Oryzias latipes: one gene and its partner. The main gene of each other region encodes a partner of the protein of the gene in region 2 in a complex. Links are inferred from orthologs where the notes say so. Each region holds a gene or a part of one and is shown on either strand. Other genes may lie near its edges.

Region 1 (4,719 bases), on a different chromosome or scaffold from region 2:
CAGTATTTATGTTAAAGGTGTTTTAATAAAGAAAACCAATACTGAGCGATTAAAGGGGTAAAAATGTGTTTTTTTAGAAAAACGGCACACTGTGCATGTAGTGTGTAAATTCAGCCTGTGACAAAACATATCCTTTAATGTTTATGTAATGTGGCTTCTTAACTTAAGTGTAATAGCTGTCAAAAGAAAGTTTATATCAATAAACTCAGTAGGGCATCTACATGATTCATTTGAGGAATAACCAATAGAAGGCAGCCTGTCGATGGACAGTTTGAACCAGCAAGTGGCAGCAAAGTGTTTCTGTTAAAGGGAAAAAGAAACTTATCAAGCCTGACAAAAGCAAATAACAACCTGATGACTGGTGAAAGTCTAAGAACTCAGCCATGTTCTCCCTACCATGACAAAGGTGGATAAAGGTGGAGAGGATTTCATGTAATCCATGGACACCAGTGAAGATCACAAATCACTGAAAAAAGGTTCAATGGGTCTAGATGACCCAACTCTCAATGTTAAAGTGCCTAGGAAAGCACAAGGGTTAAAATGCTCATAGTTTTCACAGTATTTGTACAACCTTTTCATACATTAAATGATAAATGAAGACTTTAGTTTCAATTTCTTCTGATTTCCTGCAGCCTTTCGGAGCTTTGCCCATCATTCTTTAACAAGCTTTAAGATATCAATTGGTTATTTTATCAAGAAAATGCTTTTCAGAAAAATGAGAAATAGCACTTGTGTTCTCAGTAATCGTGACCTACATGTATTTTTCTCTCATCTTCCTATCTTTTTGTGTTCATCACCAGTAAACCTACGAAATTGTCAAGCTTTGGTTCCATAAGTTGGATTAAAGTTGTCTCCTTTTGGGTCGATTGTAGTTCCTTAACCTGCTTCTGATCCCTTCACCATCTATTGAACAGTGAGGACTTTAGCATATGTTGGTTTTTAAGATAATTATTTGCTATTTCTGCTTTTGATTTTTTGAATAAATGAATGGCTATTGACCAGACATCCTCTTATTTTCAAATTTTTCTATTTTTGACCTTTTATTAAGGCAACATGACTTTGAACTTTGGCACATCTACAAATGAATATATTAGATAATAAGTAAGGGATAATGGCCGATGAAATGTGCATGACCAATGTATTTATGTAAATTTATTTGAAAATTGATTAAATAAATATTGATATAAATTGGTGAAAAAACAGACACGACAATTATTGAAACAGTTTTATTGAATTTTCCAGTAGAGACTTGATATTCATGAACAAAACTGCCTTATTGAGCAAAACAGACAATGAAGCAACATGTGAAAGTGCAGACAAAGCAAAAATGTTGAAAATACAAAAAAAAGAATGTTATGTGTTCAGCAAAGCAAGAACGGATGAAAACTGAACAAATCTTAAAAAAAAGAAAAGAAACAAGATAAAGAGACATCAATAAAACATAGTTTGACATGAATAAGTGACACTTTCTCTTTCATTGGTTAACACCTGATTGCTTATTTTTTTTACTTAAGTCATTTTAATGAGTTTTTTTTCCAACCACTGTAAAAATGATATGAGAGATTTAATAAAATATTTACACTGTAATGGCAGAAATGTGAAGCAATCCCATATTCAGTGAATCAGCATTTTTGGGCCGAGGTCAACGAAAGGAAAACTAGTTCAGCTCCTCCAACAAAAACAAACAAACAGCTTTTCTGAACTTGCTGTGCTGTGTTGCAGCAGTGGAAGTCAGTTATGGCTCTAAATATGATCCAACAAATTGTAACTTTTGTTGCAAACCTCATCTGTATTTGATAATAGTTGCATTTAAAAAAGATCGCACCTTCTTTCAGAGTTTAAAATTAGGGATTTGAAGGAATTTTCAAGTGCTGTAAACAAAAACACTATTATTTCTGTAGAGTATGTCGTGCCAGTCCCCACTCTGCTTGTTTGCAAAAGCATTAATCCCCGTTACAATATGCTTTTACCACTATTTTTATTTTTTTCAAAATTGAAATGTTTATTTTGTTTTGTTTGCACCGCCATCATAGGATTAGGACAACACTTCACAAAATCCAAACTCAGCTGTCTGTGAGTATAGGAAGTCAAGGGAAAGTAATTCAATGAAAAAAAAAAAACAATGAAAGGACCCTAGACAAATAGTGAAAAAAAAAAATGACAAAAAACTAGCTAGAAAAGTCAGAAACCAAATCAAGACCTAAACAAAAAAATCCCTTAAAATGAAGAAATGAAATGTGACTGAAAAAAACTTTCATTGGAGTGTTAAACATATGTTTAAATAAATTTATCTGAGCAGAGAATTTCGTAAAATGTCGATAACGCTTATGGGCACAAATACGTTTTGCCGCAAAATAAAGAACTCAGTCCAATTAGCCTCCCACATTGGCAAATCCTTTAACATTAACCAGCAATGATGGTTTGCCAAAGGTGAAAAGGGAAGCAAATACCAGGAAGTAGGCAAAGGAAGTTCCACTAGGGTGATTAAAAATGTGTTGAGGAAAAAAAAGGTTTTTAATGCTCCACAATATAAAGAAAAGAGTGAGGAGGATCAGTTAAAAAAAAAAGGTGACAATGACAAATATTTTTGGAGCACCATCAACAATGTTTGCATGATTACTCTCATTGACAAAACAAAAGTGACAATATTTCCACAACACAGGTTACAGGGTTAAAGATTTTTCAAAAAAATATGTTTCCCTCTCTGTAATGCATTTGTTCTATACATGAGTCTCAGTGCATGAAGGTGGGTGGGTTTCACTGGAAGCATGGTTCTAAACAGTGACGTGTATATAGATGTGCATCAGCAGTGCCGCCACATGTCGGGCACGTTTCTTTCTGCAAACTGCTGCAGTTTCATGTTATCAGTCCTAAATGCAGAACACTACACTAAACAAACTATGCATCGCAAAAAAACAAACAAAAAAAACAGACTGCACAGCACATTTTTTAATAGTAAATATGTCATGATAGTATTTTTTAATCATTCTCGTAAAAGAAAACATGTAACAACAGTAACAACACTGAGATTTCAATTTCTTTTTTTTTTTATTGACTGAATTGCCCTTTGAGTCTCATGCCTCTAACTAAATGCTACTTTTTACACTTACACTAATTATTTCTGATTTATTTAGGCTGTTTTGTTGTTATGATTCATTTTTATTTTTAAAAAAACATTTTCAGAAGCTTGTTGAGTTTCCAGAGTTAGCTGATTTTAGTTAGAATTTAGTTAGCAATAACTAAATTCCCCGCTAATTCTGTACTTTTTAAAAGAACTTTCCGTTTATATATTCCATTGCAGAACATAATTCACGGAAAATATCGACCGACTGTAACATTTGGTGACCTGGTCCCATAACTACTGTCACTACTCATGTTGAGTTTTGAGTGAAATATTTGGATACAAAATGAGTTGTTTTCCAGAATGACAGAACAGTTGATAGAAGGAACAGTGAAAGCCAGTTCTAAGAGGACGCTCACCTCATGATGCATGTGATGGTCGGTCAAATGATTGGTCACAAAGATCAAGTAATTTCCAGTTGCATCTTTTAACTCTGCTTATCCCTCTCCCAGTCTGTAAATGTGCCCAATTCTGGTGTCCTTCAAGTACAAAACAAACCTACCTATGACCTGTTCAATGATGCAGGTCCCAGATCAGTTTGGGTTTTCGTCAAAACTCTACAAGTGAGGAGTAAACCGCAAACTACCTTGGGACCAGTTAGCTGCTATTCTTGCTACTTAGTCAAAAATGCTGGGGTGTGGACAGCCGCAGGGCTGAGGACAGAGACCACTGGGGCCACAGAAGCCTAGGAGACAGAGGATATAGGGTTGTGGGGGGAGCCCATCTGGGTCAGGACCTTATCCAACCATTGTAGAGGACCATGCAGATGGATCTCTATCCAGCAGGGTGTACTGGTCACATCCTGACGGTGGTACTCTGCTCCCCAGCCCTAGAAGAAGAAAGAACAGCACAAATCACTAAACTAGTTATATCTGTTCATTTTTCTTTTGTCTTTTTAAAAAAATATATTTTTAACAACTGGCAATTATTTATAGGAATGCAAGAATGTCTTGTAAATCAAACTATGTTTTCACATGAATTACAAATGTGCAGAACTTTTTTTAATATATAAGAAATATTTAAAAACAAATGTTTCCAGGATTACATAATTTACATAATCCTGCCTGTGTCCCAGCTCTCCCGGGACTACCTAAATCTACCTAAATCAAGTGTCTTCAGCCTATCAGGATGTGTGATCACCAGAGTCATCTAATAGTGTTTGATATCCCCCAGGCGGACGCAGTGCTGCACAGATCACCTGCTGTGCGGTGTATGCTGGTTAGTTTTATGCTTCGTCACATGTCAATCATCATAAAAGCATCTCGAGAAAAAAGGGCGGGTGCAATGCGCCTACCCAGTTCAGCGCAGTACTAAATTTGTATCTGCGAGGCACCTTATCACTACAAAACAGTGCATTGTGGGAAACCGTGTCCTGACAGTTCTAGTAGTTTAAAGTGATGCTGGAAACAGCTGGTGCTCAACGATGCAAATCTGTGTATTTTGTTTGTAACTTTTATTTCTGCAAATAGGGATTCACTGATGAAAAAATAAACATTTCTTTTTTTATACAAATGTTTTTTTATACAAATAGTAATTGAAATCAACATAACTCAGATTACTTTAATTGTTTTATGTTTTCTACTGATAATCAATTTGGT
Region 2 (4,337 bases):
TCACTCAGTAAACTCACTTAACCGTTGAATCAAAACGAACGCTTTAGTTTCTCCTGTTGATCTGAAATGAAACCAAAAGTCCTTAAGCTGCTTTTAAACACTTGGACTAACTTTGAACCTCAGTATCTTGCTGCACGATGAAGAATTTGTCATTAAGCAGAGCTTTGGCCCAAAATCTTTCCTCCTTCATGATTGGTAGCCCTTCTTACTTAATTTAATTTTGTCAGGCTAATTATTCTCATGGCTATTTTGCTTGTTTATTTTTAAGCCTATAATATTTCTGATCTGCATTTTTAAGTGGGAAAATGCAGTTTTCAAAACAGCAATTTTATGACTCATTTGGATAACTTTAACCCCTAAAAATTAAAACAGAAAAATATTTTTTTAGTGGCAAGTCTAGAGACTAAACGTATATAAAACTTTAAAAATAAACAAAATATTTTTCATGGATCGTTTTCAGTGCACCAAAAAAATCGCCTTTTCCTCATCAAATCTTAGTTATTTCATGTAAAAATAAACCACAAATAAGCAAAACGTGAAGCTAATATTTTAGTAAAATAGATTTTATTAGTTTATGGTTTTAATTCAACCTCAGTTTTAAATATAATTGAGTACTACCATAACTGAGATTAATATTTACTAAGAACTTCAAGTCCCACTCCAATCATTTATTTTAATTTATTGTAAAAGCGTTGCAAGTGTTTTATTTATTCATGATTATGGTGTTTAGCCAAAATCAAAACACTTGTGTTGTTTTCTAGGACAGCTTCTGCAGAGCAGCAGAGGGTCATCAGAAATTCACCTCTGAGTTGTGCAAATTAGTCATTTTCTTTCTGTATGTCCTCCCATCAGAAAAATGCCACACAAACATGTTTAAATCCCCAAAAACTCGATTTTTTTTTATTCTAACTCTTTAAAAAAAGAAATAATTGGAGATTTCTAGCAGAAAAAAGAAAAATGAGACCTTAACTTAAAGTTTTAACCCCTAAAGACTGACATTTCATAAAACATATAGATCTTTGGTTTTATTTCCTCATGGAGACTTTATAGTTACTTTGTTATAAATCTGAAAAAGTGGAATGAAACATTTGCTTTGGCTGCTCTTCTATGGATCGACTCCACTTTGTTCTCACATGTCTAAATGCAACAATAAGTCCTCTGTCTCTAAGCAAAACACCCTTTCTAGCATGTTTTTTTTCTCTCTAAAACGTTATATTTTGAGCCTCGATGATATGTCTTTAAATTTAGCCTTGTCAGTTCTGCTTAAAGCATAAGGAACCAAAACAAGAAAGATTTTAGATTGTGTCTCCAGGATGAATAAAAACCGGATCCATTTGTACATCTGACCTGAAGATCAGTTTGACGCTTAGCGGTTAAGACATGAGGATAAATGTGAAGTGTTGCTTTCTCATGACTGTTTGGTGTAAAGCGGCAGAACTGGCAGGACTCTTCTGTTCTGTTCTGTTCCTGGTTCTAACAAACGTCCAAGATCATTTTCCCTTAAAAAACAAAAAAACCTTTTTCTCCAGAGTGCCGTTTTCATCTGATCTGTTTTCCGAAGAAGAGCAGTGATAACTAGAATGTATCTGTGTAAGGCTCTACAGGTTCTGCAGGACCAAGGCTCTTCACCATTCACTTGATAGACGCCAACACAGACAACCTGCCTAAAGCTCACACATGGTGAGGATGCAGACGGTGCAGCTCTCCCCTCCACCTGCACTCGAGTGTGGACTAAAAAGTGTTTGTGTCTCCAGTTTCAACAGAATAGACATCCCTCCATACGAGTCCTACGAGAAGCTTTATGAGAAGCTGCTGACGGCTGTGGAGGAAACCTGCGGCTTCGCTGTGGAGTGACGTGTCCACCGGCGACTCTTCATACAGTCACGCCTGCACTTGCACACAACTGTGTCACATTAACACAAATACACACACCCTCCCAAAATGAAAAAGCCTCACGAGAACACCCACCGCCCGCGGTTCGCCGTGCGCCTCCGGACCGACGTGGCGGCGGGAGGAAGCACAGCAGCGTGAGGACAGGGCAGAAAAGTATTTTAAACCAATTTTCAACCCGTTTTGGAGAAGCATTTCTACCCTTCAGTTTTAACAAGCTATGATGTCATTCTTCTGAATGTCTAACCACAAGAAAACAGAACTTTTGTCGCACTTGAGTCTCTGGACTGAACCGGACAGTCACACGCCGGCCCGCCAGCGGAGACTTCGGAGCGGAGAACAAAGCAAAGAACTGTCTGAGCGACTGTAACTCATGCTTCACGTCTAACCACTTTGATGTGCGTTTTTATGTCCGGGTGCATGATGGAGAGTGTGAGTTGGTGTGAATGTCGATGTGTGTGTCCAGCATGGCGCTCAAGTTATGCTGTTTAAAAGACAAAAAAAAAAACGATCAAATGAGCCTGATCCTCGGTTTGGCGACCACTCTCATCCACTCTGATGTTTTATTATTTATTACTAAGTGATGACTGACCAAGCTGCTATATGCTCTACGACGAGCTCGTGCTAATCTGTTACCCCTCCACTGCTTGACGCTCAAGCAGTTCAAGCAATCCACAAAGTGGGTTTTATTGAATTGTTCCTTTTTTTAGCATTCATATCACTGCGGAGAATTACTCTGGCAGCGTATGATTAAAGTTGGTGTTTTTATATACCAGGTTACAATAAAGTCAAAGGGAGATTATATTCCCTGCTCTAATTTTTAGAAATCTAACTCAATTGATGTTCTAAAGGTGGATAATGTTCTTTTTTTTTTTTTTGTATCTGAATGAGCCTGAATCATGAAAACATAAAGGCACTTTTGGGAGTTTTTTATTTGTGGCATGTTTTCTAAGCCTTTTATTCATGTTACAATGCCCATCTTGCTGTCTTTTATCCATGACCTTTCTCTGCCCATCTTCTGTTCACTACAGCCCATTAAAACGCCATAAAAATGAAAAATCCCAAAAGAAGGAAATCAGTTTTAAAGGTGGAATAAAACACGGAAAAACCTTTAACTCTGTTGTGGATTGAAGACTGTTACAAAAGCATTATTATGATTTCAGACGACGTTTCTTTCTAGGGTCAGAGTTCACTGTGTAATGGATGCAAAGTATTGTAACTTACAATGTACTAAACATTTATGAAAAAATAAAATGTAAATAAGATTATATTAAATGAATTAAATTGAAAAGAAAATCTAATGTTGGCTTTTTTCATTTTTGATTTAGAAAATAATACAGAAACTGAGGAATTCAACCAACTATGGAATGAAAAATATATTTAACAGCATATTTTCATAGAAAGTGTTTTTTTTTTGTTTTACATTTGTGTAAAAACATTTATTTAATGCACATATTTTTTATTTTTTCAGAATTTTTCTTGTTTACAGGCCCAACAAAAAGCTGATTATAACCTGCTTTCATGAGTTATCAAATGATTCAAATGTTCATACAAACTTATCTGATTTGGAAAACATCATTTCTCCCCAATAATGTGATTTCCAGCTACTTGTACACCACTTGATCAGATCATGATTTTTTTAATCTGTGTGAAAAGCAAGAAAAGAAGAATATGTAACGACAAAAATCACAGTAAATGTCACAGTTTGAATGGAAAACAGATGAGAAGGAGCTTTCTGCACACAACTTGGAGGGCAATCCTTAGACTACAGATGTGACTAATTTATTGCATTAATTAGAACAAAGGTTGGGGGGGGGGCATAACAGAAGGGTTAAGTCTCTACATGCACCCAAACTTTGTAAGAAATTGGACTCTTAAGTGCAGGACTGGCATGCAGGAAACCTGGGTTTGATTCCAAGTGGGTCACAATGAGCAATTAATGGGTCAATGATCATGTTTACATTATCCAGTGAGGATGCTTGGGCAAAACCTCATACCCCATGAGAAACAATGAAACACGTCATGACGTCGCCCGGCCAACCAGGTGCTGGGGAACCACATCCCCTGATGGAAAGTGGGCTACTCGAACAAGATGGAAATGGACTAGCTGCGGGAACAAGGATCTGTTGGAATGCTACTACTCAGACAGGTGACATGCAGAGCAAATGGATGCTTCAAAACCCACAAAAGAACTGGAAAAAGCATGGAAGGTGAAGGTGACAGTGGTGCTCGTGGTGATTGGAACACTTGGGGCAGTAACCCTGAAACTGGAGGAGTGGCTACAGCAGATCCCTGGAAGGACCTCAGACATCTCAGTGCAGAAAGGTGCTAGGAATAGCTAAGATACCACGCAGGACCCTCAAGCTCCCAGGCCTCTAGGACCTTGGCTTGGGTGACACCCCTCTCCATTTAACATGGGAGCGGATGAGTTTACGATGAGCGGTGCA

What was found. The genes of interacting proteins can lie anywhere in the genome.
Region 1: the proteins of smurf1 (region 2) and smad1 are in contact, whole or in part, in an NMR structure (PDB 2LB1), measured with the Homo sapiens proteins. The link is inferred for Oryzias latipes from reciprocal best matches to the Homo sapiens genes SMURF1 and SMAD1. Residues at the interface, in NP_065162.1 of Homo sapiens: Glu313, Val314, Arg315, Ser316, Arg321, Tyr323, Val325, Asp326, His327, Arg330, Thr331, Thr332, Gln333, Phe334; in NP_001003688.1 of Homo sapiens: Asp221, Thr222, Pro223, Pro224, Pro225, Ala226, Tyr227, Leu228, Pro229, Pro230, Glu231, Asp232.

What each region holds. Positions count from the first base shown.
Region 1 is NC_019859.2:18,371,665-18,376,383, reverse strand, and holds the end of smad1 (mothers against decapentaplegic homolog 1), read right to left. Parts: intron 3,951-4,719; coding exon 3,807-3,950; 3' UTR 1,213-3,806; downstream 1-1,212. UniProt on the Homo sapiens protein: Transcriptional modulator that plays a role in various cellular processes, including embryonic development, cell differentiation, and tissue homeostasis.
Region 2 is NC_019866.2:19,096,797-19,101,133, forward strand, and holds the end of smurf1 (E3 ubiquitin-protein ligase SMURF1), read left to right. Parts: intron 1-1,595; coding exon 1,596-1,680; intron 1,681-1,754; coding exon 1,755-1,854; 3' UTR 1,855-3,191; downstream 3,192-4,337. UniProt on the Homo sapiens protein: E3 ubiquitin-protein ligase that acts as a negative regulator of BMP signaling pathway. Mediates ubiquitination and degradation of SMAD1 and SMAD5, 2 receptor-regulated SMADs specific for the BMP pathway.